2 linked regions of the Bombyx mori genome follow. The protein of the gene in region 1 purifies or fractionates together with the protein of each later gene. This does not show direct contact. Links are inferred from orthologs where the notes say so. Each region holds a gene or a part of one and is shown in the gene's direction. Other genes may lie near its edges.

Region 1 (8,570 bases):
AGCAGTAATGCGTTTCGGCTTGAAGTGTGAGGCAGCCGTTGTAACTATACTGAGACCTTAGAACTTATATCTCAAGGTCAGTGGCGCATTTACGTTGTAAATGTCTATAGACTCCAGTAATCACTTAACACCAGCTGTGAGCTCATCCAACCATCTAAGCAATAAATAAAAAAAAAAGATGTGTGAATTTTTGTATAATTTTTAAAATATAGTTACAAAGTTAATATACTTTAGTAGTAATATACATATTAAGTAGTTTATTAGTCTGAATTTTTAATTAGAAAGATATGTTTTTTACTATTAAATATTTTCAATGTTTCAATTTATAAATGATAATTTCGGAATTTGTTGATAAAAATAAAAGTTGTATATTGTTACTGTTCCAGTTCAAATTAAAAACGAAAGAGTCAGATTAATTTTTATTAATAATAACTTGTTTATATTTGATGTTACAAAATCTAAGTACCCATTACCATATTATGATAATTGAACGACTCTACTCTTGAAATACTGGTTGAATTTAATTAAAATACCGGAAAGTTATGTCTCTTGACTTATCCGAAGTAATAACATGGAAAATCAAACGCCCACTTTATTTCCACTGGGCATATATGTGGCAGATGTAGAATGGATATCAAATCTAGTTCGTGAATAAATTGCAAAGGACTTACGATTTATTTACAAAAACAGCACGGTATTTTATTAAAATCAAATATTCTAAATGTTAATAAGATATTTTATGGACTAACCTTAGATTTATTTAAAACATTTTTTTATTACTTTAAATTAGTATTAAAAGCCACGGTCATAGTTTTAAAAAATTTTAAAAATACAAAACTAAACACATAACACACTAACAGAACAAGTGTAAAACTAGAAGTAGAAATTAAATTGAATTGACGTATATTAAATTGACGTTTGATAAAATTTGTCTTTTTTTCAGTATGGCAATCGATTTCTTATATTTCCATAGCTGCCAACGTCGTATTTTGAAAAATGATTAGTAAGTCTTAGTAAAGTTATAAAAAATATATTTTATAAAGTTATAAAGTTTAAACTGTAAGAAATCCGGTGAAGCTAGCATAATCTTGACTAAAATGGGTTTTGAATCTAATTAAATAATACGTAAGCTCATGACTTATCATTGCAGACTTTTTAACTTTTGGCAAAACCGCCATAATGGCCATTTATCTTTTTATTTAACTGCTACTAACACGATGTATTACACAATCCAAACATATTTTCAGAAATATCGTACTTAGTTCATCGAAAAACATGGAGAGTAGAGGTAAGGAGTACCATATTGTATAGGGGACAAGTTGAAAAAGTGTCCATCTGTAAATAGCACATTATAGTTCCAAAAGTCACCGAATTACCGCTAGTGTTGCAAGGGGAAATAGTATGAAGAAGTTTTTAAACTGAGTGAAGTATGCTGGATTACAGTGAAGGCTTTGTTCCGATTTACACTGCGAGCAGTGTTCAGTGCTCTTACTGCAGAGATATTTGTGACGTTAAGGACTGACAGTATACAGTCGCAGTAACTTAAGGAAATACATGATTTCATAAATCTTCACTTCATCACTGTTACCGTGCATAATAATAATAAAGCCCTTTAATTCCGAACTACAACCATGAAATTTTACATTTTTGTGTTTTTTTTACATTTTATTTCTTATAGTATATCTCGCAGTTCAGCGTGCCTCGTGGCATAGGCCTCCTCCAGCTCTCTCCATTGGGCTCGGTCCTCTGCAACTCTGGTCCAGTATGGTCCTAGGGTTAGGCGTGTATCGTCGCTCCATCTCGTTTTTGGTCGCCCCTGTCTTCTGGTGTCCCCTCTTGGATACCATAAAGTTACTTGTTTACTCCACTTGTTTTTTTTGCAACGTAGTGATGTAAACTTCTTAGTTGAAATTATCAGCCATAAGTTGACGTAATTGTCAATCTGTTTTATTCGTTATTTGTCAATGTACCTAATGTAATCAAAGCAAATTTTACTGTTAATTTTAGCTTATTAAAACCTTATATTCAGTAAAGATTTTCTCTTATTACACGTAGCATAATATGTCCTGTCCAACTTCATTTAAGATTTTCTATACGAGTTATTATATCCGTTACTTTTATCTTCCTTCTTATTTCCCAATTTCGAATTCTGCACTAAGTCTGATACTCAACATGCTTCTTTCCATTGCTCTCTCTGTTTTAGCAAGTTTTTCTCTATGTTTGTCAGTTAATTTCCATGTCTCACAGCCGTAAGTCATGCAAGGGAGAATACAAGTGTTGAAAGTCTTTCTCTTGATATGTATACCTAGATCTTTATTCTTCATTATCTCTTTCAAGGACCAGTATTTTTTCCAACCGCATGCTATTCTTTTGTTTATTTCCTTGGACATGGAGTCTTCAGAAGATATAATTTGTCCTAGGTAAACGAATTCCTTCACATATTCGAACTTGATTCCGTTTACCTCTATGTTTCTTTCTGTTGAGTTCGTCATTAGTTTCGTTTTATCTGCATTAATTTCTAGCCCTACTTCTCTGCTTTTTTCTACTATTTCTTTAATCATGTGTTCAAGTTTCTTAGGATCTTCTTCTAGCAAGATAATATCATCTGCAAATCTCAAATGATTGAGGCGACTTCCATTGATTATAATACCATAGTTATCCCAGTTTAATCTTCTAAATGTGCATTCCAGTACTGCATTAAACAGCTTGGGAGATAATGGGTCACCTTGTCTTACGCCTCTGTTTATTGGAAAGGGGTCTCCTTTTGACTCTAATTTAATACTGCTTTTACTTTTTTTGTAGACGGATTTGGTTACCGTGCATAACCTCATTTCAATAATACGGTTATTAAGTTATTATACATTAAATTGCTTGAAAAACAACTTTTTTTTTACTAAAAAGTATACAGTTTACTTTTGGCGATTTATTCAACTGACAATAATTTGAATATTCTATTTTCAAATATAACTAAATTTAAACAAGAATTTTTGCTGAAGTGAAAACACCGCCATGACCACGTCGATGACATTAAACTGTACTGTAAAGGAACGGCTTCGCAGTATACTAATTTGTCGTCACACTTTACAGTGCTCGCTGTGCAAATCGGAACATACCAGCAGTGTGGTCGTTTATGGCGCTGTTTTAAAATCTTTCCACTTGCTACTATGAAAGCACTTTAATTGGCTCCCTTTCAGTGGACACTTTTTAATATACTAGATGGTACTCCTTAGTTCTGCCTATAGATTATACACTTAATATATTTGGGTTCTACCCTCTGAGGGAGCCCACTTAAAGTCCCTTCTTTATTTCGCCCTAAAATCGTGTTTTATTTCGTTTATTTCGTTTACTCTACTTTATTTATGCTACTAATCATATTGAAACGCACTAAAATTTTCGTGAATTTAATTCAATTTATACAGTACTAGCGGCCCGCACCGTCTCCGCTCGGGTCTTTAATAAAAAATTCAATGATATTTGACGTTGTTTTATTTTTTTTTAAATAAAAGAACACTTATTGCGGAATAACTATAAGAGTACATATGCTGTTGCGACACTTTTTGTAAATAATGTGTTCTACAAAGTTGTACATTATTTTATTCTATTATCAATAGTTTTCGCAGGGCACGCGATGGAAAGAATATTGAAGGTAATTTTTTTACACCTTGGGTTACATTATTGGAGTTTTAGTTTTAGTAAGATCCCTAAATTTTTCAAAAAATAATATAACCTATGTCACTCGGGAATAATGTAGCTTCGAAACAGTGAAAGAATTTTTCAAATCGGTTCAGTGGTTTCGGAGCCTATTCAATACAAACAAACAAACAAATCTTTCTTCTTTATAATATTGGTATAGATAATTTAAAAAATATTAACGTAGCTTTTTAGCTTGTTAATATTTTTCCAAAAATATAAATTAATATCATAACTAAAATTTTGCGACTTGCGACTTAGACCTCATTATAATTCAATTCATTAAGGAATGTCGATCACTTTAGATGGAGTAAAATGTGGTATTATAACATTAGGATTTGATAAGAACGTAATTTATAAAGTGTCTAACACAATCACAACAAAAGAGACTTAAAATTAAAATATAGTTATGAATAGCGAATTAAGAATAAGTTTTAGCCTGAAACCTTTGCAGTTGTAAATTGGCTCACCTTTGTACAAAGACGCTGTTCTACTTTTTGGCGGACACTTTTAACAGATCACAAAGTTGGTGTTTATTTATTTATTTATGTACCTTATTTTATGTCCCTGTGTATTTAACTGTAAATATTGTATATAGTCATCTGAGGTATGACAACTTTTAGCATGTATTACCAACATTTGTACAATTTTCAGTCAAATAACAAAATTATTCTTTTTATTGAAAAGGTAGTGATTTTATTTGGGCTGTCTTAAAAAAAGTACTTTTTATCAAACAGACAAAAATCTAAAAAGTAAAAAATAAAAGTTGTTTCCAAAAGCAGTGATACCACATTTTGTCGGTAAATACCGGTTTGTAACCGTCCAGTGTCATATCCGCTGATTTGTAGAAAATGGCGTCAACGGAGTTTTTGGAGGAAGCTTTGTCCACAGACGTCGACGAGAAAGCCGTGAACGCGATCGTGGGCACTCTCGAAAACCAATTAGTTACTAACGTATCGTCGGCGCCGTCACAAAATATTTTAGTGAACGTTTTATCATCTCAGTTTCCCGGGCTAAGTTCGAACGCGGGCTCTATTATAAGTGGTCATAAATATACAACAGGCGGAGTTAGCTGCGGTATTGCCGCGAACAGTATACACAGACCCTCGTTGACAAATAGCACGTCCTGTAATAATGTCCAATCAAGTGTTCCTGGTACTTATTCCTCTTTGACACCGGGTGGTACTGTGACCAATTGTAACGATAACATACAAGTTATATATTCTCAGGCTCAAGCATTTTCTAACCCAAATTCGGTGACATTTCCCGCTCAGTCACTTCCGAACGGTTTCGTTGGGTTGTCCTCGTCCCAAAATCATTTGATAACGTCAGTAGACGCGATGCAACCTCCTTTAGTTTTAAAACAGGGGACGTCTTCGGGCCAAGTGGGAATACAGTCTGGAATGGTCACAGTACCGATGACAGCCAATTCAAGCATGTCCGGTTCAATACCAAATGTAATGACTTTGAACAAACCTGGACAAAATGTAGTTGTAACAACTCAGAACTTGGGTTCGAGTCAGCCCACAATACTCCCTAATGTTCAGATTCTGAATATGAGAGCTGGTGCTCCAGCAGTTGCGGCACAAAAGTCAGTAGCAACAGTATCACCAAGAGTAGTGATAGGCACCCCACAAGTTGTTGGCACCAGAGCTGCAGGACCAGGCGTAAGTCTCAAATGTTAAAATATTAATACATTAATTATTTATCCAAGCGTTTTGTCACTAAAACTTATTTAAAACTTTTAGGACTGATACAAGTTGTAAAGTAAATATACCACCAAAAAAAAAAAAACTTTTATAAATAAAACAATATTTAGGAAATTCAAAACATAGTATATTGCAACTTTTCTGAAATGTTTGTAAAAGATAAAAATCATTAAACTTAAAATAAGTTAATGTTATTAATTTCTAATTTAATCAAATCAGAATCTTCTATTGTTTTTATTGTCTTTTTATCAGTCCTAAAACAAATTAACAATAGACATTATAGAGGAACTAAAACAAAAAAGAAAAAATCTACAGGATCTTTCTGCATTATAATGTTATGCTGTAAAAATAAATGTTATAACATGGTTCATTATGGTTATGTACAAAAGATATTAACACAATTCTTAGATACCCACTTATCTGTAAATAAATTTCACTGAAACATGAAGAGGATGGATTTCTTCGGGCAACATCACTGTCATCTAAAACTCTTAGCATATTTGCACAAATTGTCACATAAACACAGAATACTGCTTGTTAAACTTTTATCAATGGGAAATGGGCCCACTGGTGATTCAACAAATTTTCAGTGGTTTGCATATCATAAACAAGCTGAAATTTAACTTTGAATTCTGCTACCCTACAATCAAATAATGCCTCAAAATATAAACCTAATACAACATGGATTTATAAATTAAACTTTATTATATAATTTTCTGGGAATCCATAAAACTGCTACAAATAAAAATATTAGTAAAATTTATGAAATCAAGCAATCTTTACCAGTTTAATGGAATCTGAGAAAGCTTCATTTCAGATGTCATATATGTCATATATAATTGCATTGTGCTACTCGGGCTTTTGTATAATATTGTAATCAATAATAGCTTAACCCATCCTAACCTTGTCATAATCATATCATATACATGTTAGTTTTGCACAGTCACCTGTCCCGTCAATGTTGTCATGTCACTGAAGTGTGTTATAAATTTTAACAAATGACCTGCTTTAGGAATTCGCATTCCAATTTTATATTTAGTAAAATATATATTCTTTCACTTGTTACTCTTCATTTAATGAAGAAGTAGGTGAAATTGAATTGAAGCGTTCAATTTTTAGATAACGCTGCAAACACTACCAAGTCTACAACCGGGCCAGCAGGGTCATTTGTTGTTAAAGACAGAGAATGGTCAATACCAGTTGCTGAGAGTGGGTCCCGCTCCAGCGGCCAGCTCTCTCACGACGCCCCAGCCTCAAACCATCAGGCTGTCCACTGTGCCAGCAGTAAGTAGGCACAACCACTCACACCCTGACTGAGATTGGACAACCCCCCCTCTCTCTTGCGCCACATTGAGAATCTCATGTTTGTCCAATTTCATGTTGTTCATGCATGTACAAATGTGGTGAAGGTGCATGTTCTTATTAACAAGGTAAGAAGATTCTAATTGGAGTATCATTACTTATAAATACTAATTACCTGGATTCATTAGTTTAATGTAAGGCATAAATATATGCGCTGGTACCCCAACAGTACATCTAAGTATAAGCCAAATGTCCGTGCTAGCTGTAGAGCATGCTTATTATGCATAGTTATTAAGCTGCTTCAAGTATTTAAATATTTATTAGTAAATACAATAATATATGCAATATAATTAGATATGTGTTTATAGATATATTTATAATTTAGTGTTATACTTTAATAAATTTTTTATAAATTTTAGAAATTATAAGTTATTTGATTAATATAATCTTAACTGTATAACAGACAAGCCATTGTTTAAAAATATCAAAAATATCTATTATAAATTATTATACAGTAATCCATCCTATAACACAGTCAATTGGTTCCATGTTATAGGAAACACGTTGTAGGAGTATTTTCATATGACGCACTTGTGTGATCCCATAACACGCGTTTTATACAAATATATATAAATATAATGCAATATAACCAATGTTTTTACAATTCATAAACTAGGAACACAAAATAAATTAATTAATTTTATTTTATAACAACAATGATTAACACAATGTGCAAAAGTACGCAAAATTAATTATGAACTGTATAAATCATAATAAATTTCACAGTATAAAAATCCCCGTGTTATAAGGTGAACACCCGTGTTATACAAGGGGCTGAAATCGCGTAATATGAAAATGCATTATATGAGTACCATGCTACAAGTGGGATTATTGTAATATGATTGCTTTGATGCACTGTCTTCACATACACAGTTATGTATGTATCGTATATTTTTTTTAAATAAGGTGAAGGAATAAAGTATGCAAGGGTGAGCATAATGTCCAAATGTCTTTGGAAAACTTATAATATTGTAGCAGCCTGATTACTTCCAAGTGAAACTATATAGTAATAAGTGCACTATTATGGAATGCTTTCAATAATATAAAATTATTAATGAAATTAATAAATGGAGCTTCTTCATTTATGGAGCATTTCTGAGGACGACCTGGTTTCAAAATTCTCTGGATGAAGTGGAGATGTAACTATTTAGAGTTATAGTTGTAAATTATATGATTATTTTTTGTGTTTGGTTGAAATGATTTAATATCTTTAATTGGATGCAATTGCCAGCTTGCAATGATTCACCAAAAATAACCAAAATGCATTTGATAAAATTACGTTTTACCAGTTTCATATGCACCTTACATTTAAAGCATTTCCATATATTTATATTTTAAAAAGCTTGTGATTGACGCCTTGACAAATGATAGTTTATTTGCGTTCGTTTAGATGTCTTGGTATACTCTCGTCCGGTATTAAACTTAAAATTCTCAAAAATGAGTCGAGAGTTTACCGAGTAACATAGTTTGTGGTGCAGTGTGGTGGCAGCAATATAGATATTTATAAAATGGTCAATGATTAATGGCTGGATCTATTGGTGCAGCATCCTGGCGTCGCGACGGTGTCAACAAGCATGGCCTCCAGCCCTATACCGGGTCAGATGCCAGCTGCGCCGATGGCAACGCCTGTTATACCAGCATCTATACCAAATATAAACTGCGGTACGCCTCCGCCTCAATCTCAACCCCCAACGGTAACAACTGTTGTAAGTTATGTGTGTCGTGTTTTTATTTTCGCTCTTTAATTATATTAATTTTTTTTTTTCCTTTTGCTTTGCATGATTATGAAACTGTGTGAACACGATTTTA
Region 2 (8,570 bases), on another chromosome or scaffold:
GAGTATGTACCACAGTCTTGCCTATTTCTACCGCGTTCCTGTTTGAAGGGCGGGACATCCTTCCATTAGATGTCCGTGGGATCCTAACTGTCAAGAACTTGATACCAAGTGAGTCGGTGTGCCCGACTTGGAAGTAGGAGGGTCTGAGGTAGCCAAGCTCAGATGCATGTGTATTTTCAAACTATTTTGGTATTAGCATAAGGCAATAAAACAATGAAAAACTGAGCGGTGTTTTTGTTCAGCCCGCACCGGCCTCATACGACCACTCGGTGGACGAACGCGAGCACACCGTGGAGCAGTGGAAGCAGCTCATCTACCAGGAGGTGGTCGAGTACTCCGCGCCGCCCCACCCCCCGCCCCCGCACCCCCCGCCCGCCGACCACGCGCAGCCCGCACTCACCACGTAGGCACCGCCCCCTCCCTCACGTAGCCAGGAAGGAACACTACTCACCCTCTGCGCATAGGGTATTATACACTCAAAATCTATAACCCTATGTGAAAACGATGTGAATTTATAAACCGTAACACAAAATAGAGTGGTACCTTGTATGAATAACCCGTGATTGTTTTTGGAGATACTATTTGACACAATCTCATAAGGATCCTTCGAGAAAGTCTGGAATTAAAAATCGGGAAAAATATGCCTTTTGTAGAATTGGTCGAAGTTAAAGAAATTCCGAGGGGATCCCTCGAGGACATACGTTCCTGGCTGCGCTGGGTCACAGTCGACTCCCCCCCCAGCGTCCCCCGCGTCCCCCCGCTTGTTGTTTCAAATCCGTTATCGCCCCGTTACGTAGTTTCTTCCCGTTCTTATGACGTATTATATTCATAGCATAAGTTTTATTATTTAGTGTGAAGGCTACAATGCGCTTTTTATCGTTTTTCAAAAGCTCTGTTTGTCCCCCTCCCTCCCCCTCCCTCTCCGTCACAGTTGAGTTCTCGTTCGTAATTACCACTCGAGTAATAATTTCCACTGCGGAGTGCCTTTAGCGAACCCGACGCGGCGACGACTTCAGCTTTTGTCCACTATATTTTCATACGTTTGGATATTTTTGTAATGACAACAATTTTGATAAGCTGTGAAAAATAAATGTTATATATATATTTATGGATCTTAATGCTATGCAATTGTTTATTTGAATTGATTTATTTTAAATATAAAGTACGTAATGATGTAAACTAGCTGTACGAAGTTAATGATACGGAAAGTTGAGCTTATTCTGTGTTGTTATCGAATGTAATTGAAAATTTTATTTTTATTTCTTAAATTTTTATTTTATTGTATAATTATAATTAACGTGCAATCATTATTAGTTGTTTAATGCGTTCGATATTAAGTTTATCGACTATAACTGTTGCATATCTCACCTTAAAATTCCGAAATCGATGATGAAATTAAAAAAAAAACGTTTCCCGCGTTTACCATAGAAGTGTAAATCGAGGCCATAGACAAAGGCGAGTGAGGCCGTGCGTATGTAAAACATTATTTTCTTGGTCGCGTACATACATCTTGATAGTTGGGATTTTGTGATGTTAATAGTTCTTCGGTAATTAGAGATTAGTTAGGTTGTTGATATCGTATTCACTGCGACTAGCGTAAGTACATTTTTACCTAAGTAGTTACTTATAGGAAGCCTCACACACGTCACCCTTGGATGTAGAACGGAACTGGAAACAGAGATACGTAAAACACATGAGAAAAAAAAACAGTAATATAAAATTACATACATAACGGAACTTAATTACCGTTATAAGAATAATAATAGTTTCACCAAAAAATTTGTAGCTTCATATTTGAAATCGATAAAAGTTATCTTATTTCATCATTACATCATAAATATTTATAATGAGTAAAGACAATTTAGAAGTTTCTTCAAACATTACATTACATAAACTTCTAACGCTAAATTAGTTGATAATAAACGGAAATATAACGATAAATTACTTGGCAACATTTATCTATATACACATATTTATGTATGCCTTTTATCGGAACATACAGAGCATTTAATTACTAATAAAATATTACATACGAACGCAATCCGTCTCTGTAGAATATCCAGTTGATTTGCGTGTTTAGATGGAAGACATTCGTTTAGTAATGAATGTGTGAGGTACACCGTAGTTTATCGTTTGAAACCTCATTAGGTGATATAATAAGTTTTAAGTGATAGTGATGGACGATTGTCGTGATAATATTCATGGTGTAGCACAATTTGTAGTGGATACTAATCTGGTGATGGCGTTATGGCGCCATTATGACAACAGCAATAATGATATGTGCATTCGTACGCGCGTGTGTATGTGTGTGCACGCGTCACTTCTCTACGAAACATCTATTAAACCGATTCGCTCTACTTTTGTTCTCATTTGTATTTTATAAGACTAATGTCATTCGTAACTTGTGTATGTCATAATGATTGTTGCAATTGAATGGAACAAAAGCAAAGTGAACTGTTTCTATACCTATGTATAAATACGTTTTATCTTAAATTAATATAAATAAATAATATTGACAAGTGTACGTCCAAATTGTCCATGTATTAGTTAATGTACCTAATACAATATTACATTAATGTAATCATTAGCGATATTCTAGTACATTTCGTGAAGGTATCGCCGTGCTGCGACGTGTCAGCGTCCGAAGCGACCCACTTAACAATTGGATTGATATCTGAAAATACTTATTTTTACTGTACACGTAAGTTATTTCATATTTTAACTGAATAAATCGAAATGGTTATTATAGTTGTATGTTTTATTTATTTAATACCCTTCAAAATCCATGTCAACCTTCAGTGACTTTAGAAACAATTCTTGTTGATTCACCATCGTTAAAATAGTCCTACTTCCAAGATACTGTCTCATGAATGAATGAATAAACTGAACATGGCGCTAATCAGAACTGGCTATCTTAGTAAAAAAACCTGCCAGACTGTTATTAAGTGGATATCTAACTTTTTTGTGTAACTTGTCGAAAGGCAAGCAATTGCTTAAATTCCAACAGAACAAAGAAACATCAAACGGGAACGCTTGACTGTTTTGCGGCAGAAAAAAACCAGATTATGGATATCTATTCTAATTTATTTTTCAATTCACAGTTTATAGACGGTTGATAAATGAATATTAATATTCTCTAAATCTAAGAAAATCCTAAAATTAAATGAACCAAATAATACAAACCAGTTTTTCATTTTGTTACAATATTGCCGAAAAATAATATACATACATATATCTTTTTATTTTGAGTACTTTAATTAAGATAAATAAATAAGAAAAATGATTTCTGTTTTGAATGTAAATGCATAAAAGGAAATTTAATATCTAGGTAATATTTTTTTCGTAAGACAGTGCGGGATAAGCGTTTACATTTGTTTAAAGATAAAGGTATTGAAAGTAGAGATATTGAAACCAGCTACTTAGTTAGTTTTGTTAACTAACTGTACAGCTGTTTGATGAACGAAATAAATAAGAAAAAAGGAATTCATTATATATTTTTTGAAGTAAAACTTCTTTAGGCGCGTTGAGAGTGAAATTTAACTCGCGACAGATTCGTTACGGCTAGAGAGAAAAGATACAATTTAGGAAGAGCGAGAGTAAGAAAATAGGTAGGGCGTCTTGTGAACCACTCAACCGTGGAGAGAGGGAAAGGGCAAAGCGAGTTAGGTCGTTTTTTAATTTAGTGACATCTATTGGATTTCGTTTAACTACTACATTGCAAGACCATCGGTGTGAACAGTTTAGTTTCTAAATTATTTACAGAAGGCGGTATTTTAAATAAAAGTAATTATCACTAAACATATTATTATTGTAAAACCAAAGGACTCGTTCGGTAATCATCGAATACTGGTAACAACTTCTTTCTAAGTTAATCTTATTTCTCGAGATAAATTGAAGTTTCACTTCTTTCACGTGCACCAAGTTTTATACGCGCACCAGTTTTTTGTTTGTTTCCAAGTTCTGACAACAACCATAGAGAGATATACTTTTAAATGTGTTCTGAAATGAAGATGTCAATGGCTCAGAATGGCTGACACTGACAGTTTGAATTGACTTGACAATCGTCATCAAACAACATAGATCTGTCACAATCACAGCACAAGTGTTGTTTTTATAGCATTGTTACCAAAATAAAGTATGCCAATACTATGACTAAGAAAAAGATTTTTAAACAAATCAGAAATAATTCGGTCTAAAATTAAAATAACAAATAAAACTACAAGATGTCAGAGAAAGACAAATCCAAATCGGGTGGTCAAGCTAAGCACATTCCCAAAGATGCCCAAGTCATCATGTCCATCATGAAGGAAGTAGGTATCACTGACTATGAACCGAGAGTCGTGAACCAGCTCCTAGAATTCACATACCGCTACGTTACATCAGTATTAGATGATGCAAGGATATTTGCAAACCACGCAAAAAAGAAAACTATAGATCTTGATGATGTGAGACTGTCAGCTCAAATGCAATTGGACAAGTCCTTCACGAATCCCCCGCCCCGTGAAGTGCTACTGGAGATCGCGAGGGTCAAGAATGTTAATCCTTTGCCGTTGATAAAGCCGCATTGCGGGTTAAGACTGCCTCCGGATCGGTAAGTATTGGAAAATGTAGCACACTTTAATCCTATATCTCACAGCACATTATATTAATCTTTCGTGAGTATGGACTTAGATAATTTCTTCAAAAATCAGGATTAGCTTAAATAGCTCAAGGTTCAATCACCGGACTTGAGGGAAAAATACTCCACTTTAGACCACACGTATGTAATTTGCGCACCATGAATTGATTGCAACAATATTGTGTTCACAATCAAAGTTCAGTAAAGTCTTCTTGTAAACAATATCTTTAGGTGACAGATTGTCTTATTACAATTTGTAAGTAGTTACTGATACTTCAATACTGCCTGTTACTAAGAAGTCTTCAAACCTTACTGAAATAATGTCAGAATACTCCATAAACACCAATGGTTGCATTTGGGAGCCTGGTATAATAGTAAAAATGATGAATAGAAATACACTATGGACCAATTCCGCTAACAAAGGAAATTATGGAATAATTTTGATTAATTTTGTGTGAAACATGAGATTCCCTTAACACCCAGAGCCTTTTAATATGGTTAACTTGTAAATCGCTGCATGTTTACAGAGAATATTCATTTTTCCAGTTACTGCCTGTCATCCTGTAATTACAAACTGAAACCAGCAACCAAGAAAGTGATCACAAAAACTACGATAACCCCTTCCCCGTCCATAAAAACGGTCACCACATCCAAAGCACCTCAACAGACAGTTGTTATGAAGAGACCACCGGGAGCAATTGTGAATGTGGGCACCCCAAAAACCAGTCTCGGAACAAAACCTGTACTGAAATTTTCATCAAGCAGTAAAGTAAGAATTTGGTTTAATTTTAAAATTATAGAATAGATAAATAGACAGCACTATGCTTTATCATATTCATCACAGATTGAACTATTAAAAAGTGGTTTCTTTATTTCCTAACAATAATTTGAAATGTTGAAAACTGATAATCTATATTATGATATAAACAAAACGAAATATCTATTTTGTCTAATTAAATGTCAACTTATATTTGATAATATCAAAATTGCGTCACAATTTTTTTTTATTATATCTGATTATGTATTGAAATCTACATTATAAATTAAAACTAATTTTAATCTTTCATTTTTTATTTGCTTTACATTATTTCTGACATTTCATAGTTAGCACAATATTTAAATGTCAATGAATTATATTGCAGGTAGTAAAACCAGCTGTAAGAGTGACAGCTGGTCCTTCCTCACAGGCTCCTATCAAGATGGAGACAGACGAGCCAATGAGCCACAAACGGAAAAGAGAAGACGACGATTATGATCTATAAATAATTAATAGGATCACGATCTTTCTGCCTGGAATCAACATTTTGATATTAAAAAGTATCATGTGTTTAATCCTGTTTGTTTAGTGATTAATTCCATAAAACCTGATGATGCAAATTGCTCAGATTGTATGGTTTATATGACTAAGGGTATTTTAATTATTACTGTAGGTAGAAACAACAAAAAAATTGAATTTTTCCTGTTTTTTTTAAGTGAATCATATTTCAATGAAATAGCTTGCCAAAAGTTCTAAAGATAATATAATAACAGAAAGATTTAAGTAAGAGAATCTGAGATTAAAAGAGTCACTGTCTGACTGTGCCCTATAATTTAAGTAAGATCTGGAGGTGAACTCATACCGTTTTGATGCACAACTAGATTCTTTTTAATTTGCGACCGTATAGCTTGGCTGCCGTGCAAATTTTGAATTGAATTTGATATTATGTGTTGTAGTTTTCTAGATGAGAACAGGATATCTACAGTGATTTAACATACATTTAAGAAGGCATTAAAATAGAGTAGGTAAGATAAAAATGCATTCACAGAACTTGTCATCTACTACACTCGCGAGCAAAAGTTTGGAATCACTTACTTGAAATTGATTCCGCGCGATCTTGTGTACTAAATATTTTTTTGATAATCATAAAAATGAGATCATTTTAAAGGTTGAATTCCTAACTTTAAACTGATACCAAATTCATTAAAATCAAGCCAGTATTTAAGAAGTTATCTTGGATTAAGTGAAGGAATAACGAAAAAGACGTGTTTCAATTGCTTGATACGTCGCGAGTTGCGGCCTACTGACCCCTATAAAAGCACCTGTTATCGGATTTTCTTTATCAGTCGACTTTCACACGTTGACTGGTACATATCTCGGCTACTTTTGACTCTTTACCTTGTACGACAATTGGGACAACACCTACAGAAGTAGCACAAATCGTAGCCCTATTGCAAGAAGAGCTCAGCCAGCGGATTGTCGCTCGTCGGCTCCAAATAAGCCATTCCTGTGTTTCAAAAGTTTGCAAGCGCTTTCAAGAGACTGATAGCTTTATCCCGAGACCAAGATCTGGACGGCGCCGGGGCACATCGGAGAGGAATGACCGTTTTATCGTGTTAACCTCTCTCCGAAATCGGCATTAACCTGGTGTCCACGTCCAACAGGAGCTCCGAGATGTTCGTAGGGTAGCAGCTAGCAAGTAGACAGTTCGTCGACGACTCAAGCAAGCGAATCTGACTCCAAAAAGGCCTGTCACAGGCCCGAAACTCACGGTAGCTCATCGACAAGCACGCCTTCAATTTGCTCGTACCAATCTTAATTGAGACGTTGAGCAATGGAGGCAAATCCTGTTCTCCGACGAGATCAGGATGTGTTTGCATGGTAGCGACCGAAGAGGTTGGGTCTACAGGTGGCCTGGGGAGCGATTTGCGCAGTGCTGTTTCGCTGAAACAGTGGCTTATGGGGTCGGCTCTTGTATGATGTGGGCCGGCATTTCCTTCGACGGTAAAACCGAGCTTGTTTTCGTGCCTGGCGGGGGACAAGGAGGCGGTCAACTTCGGACGGGTACATTTCCAATATTCTGCTGGAACATGTCGTTCCCTATGCGGGATATGCCGGTGATAGCTTCCTCCTTAAGCACGATAACGCTCGTTGTCACACTGCCCGTGGAACAACTGAATACTTCGAAGAAGTCTATATCGCCACATTGGACTGGCCTGCGCTCAGCCCTGACTTGAATCCTATTCAGCACGTGTGGGATGAACTGAAGAATAGGGTTCGTTCCAGAACTTCTGCTCCTTCATGCCTGAATGAGCTGAAATCGGCGTTGATTGAGAAGTGGGAAGGTATCCCACAAGAATCAATTCAAAACCTGATCAGGTCTATGAAGAATCGTCTTCGAGGAGTTATTAGGGCAAGGGAAGGGAACACAAAGTACTGACATTTAATTTTAAGGCTAAATAAAATTTTTATTTATTAATTTTTGTTGTTTTATGCATTCATTATTTTTCCATATTTCCTTTGTTTCCTACCTCCTTCACTTAATCCGGAATAGCTCCTTAACTACTGGCTCGATTTGAATGAATTTGGTATCAGTTTAAAGTTAAGAGTTCAACCTTTAAAATGATCTCATTTTTATGATTATCAAAATAATATTTAGTACACAAGATCGCGCGGAATCAATTTCAAGTAAGTGATTCCAAACTTTTGCTCGCGAGTGTATTATTTTATATCTTCAAATTTTTTGCAAGTCAGTCAAATGTATCCATTTTTTTTACCTCCTGTTGCATTTAGCTATCGTTGATAGATATCAATTTCATGGACACATTGAGCTCAGCCTCTTTTTGTAATAGGAAATAAAATCAATTTTGTGCTAAGTTTAGGGTAAGTTTATAAATATTAAAGTTTTTTTTTAACTTTCTGTTTCATTCTGTTTGTTTAGATCACGGATGAGCAACACGCGGTCCGCCATCTTTCTCGTTTCTGTTCTGTTCTTTTCTTGTTTGTTTTTATCCTGCATTAGTAATATGTGGAAATTTCTTTTTTTTTTTCTTCTAATATTATAAGTAAAGCTTCGTAAATTATTATTAGGAGTTAACCAATGGGCGGTCCGTCAAAAAAAAAAATTTAAATTGGCCAATTGATTAAAAAGGTTGCTCACCCTTGGTCTAGATTTATTTAATAGTTCGAGGTATG

The links. Proteins that work in one complex are often made in the same cells at the same time.
Region 2: the proteins of transcription initiation factor TFIID subunit 4 (region 1) and transcription initiation factor TFIID subunit 9 purify together in Drosophila melanogaster (affinity purification with western blotting; 4 studies listed by BioGRID, with this or other methods). This does not show direct contact. The link is inferred for Bombyx mori from reciprocal best matches to the Drosophila melanogaster genes Taf4 and Taf9.

What each region holds. Positions count from the first base shown.
Region 1 is NC_085107.1:19,833,722-19,842,291, reverse strand, and holds the start of transcription initiation factor TFIID subunit 4, read left to right. Parts: upstream 1-4,518; 5' UTR 4,519-4,541; coding exon 4,542-5,357; intron 5,358-6,518; coding exon 6,519-6,683; intron 6,684-8,305; coding exon 8,306-8,467; intron 8,468-8,570. UniProt on the Drosophila melanogaster protein: TFIID is a multimeric protein complex that plays a central role in mediating promoter responses to various activators and repressors.
Region 2 is NC_085109.1:1,355,153-1,363,722, reverse strand, and holds transcription initiation factor TFIID subunit 9, read left to right. Parts: upstream 1-4,027; 5' UTR 4,028-4,223; coding exon 4,224-4,591; intron 4,592-5,164; coding exon 5,165-5,387; intron 5,388-5,760; coding exon 5,761-5,880; 3' UTR 5,881-5,950; downstream 5,951-8,570. Other genes in the region: Jnk (c-Jun NH2-terminal kinase), read left to right, coding at 243-407. UniProt on the Drosophila melanogaster protein: TFIID is a multimeric protein complex that plays a central role in mediating promoter responses to various activators and repressors.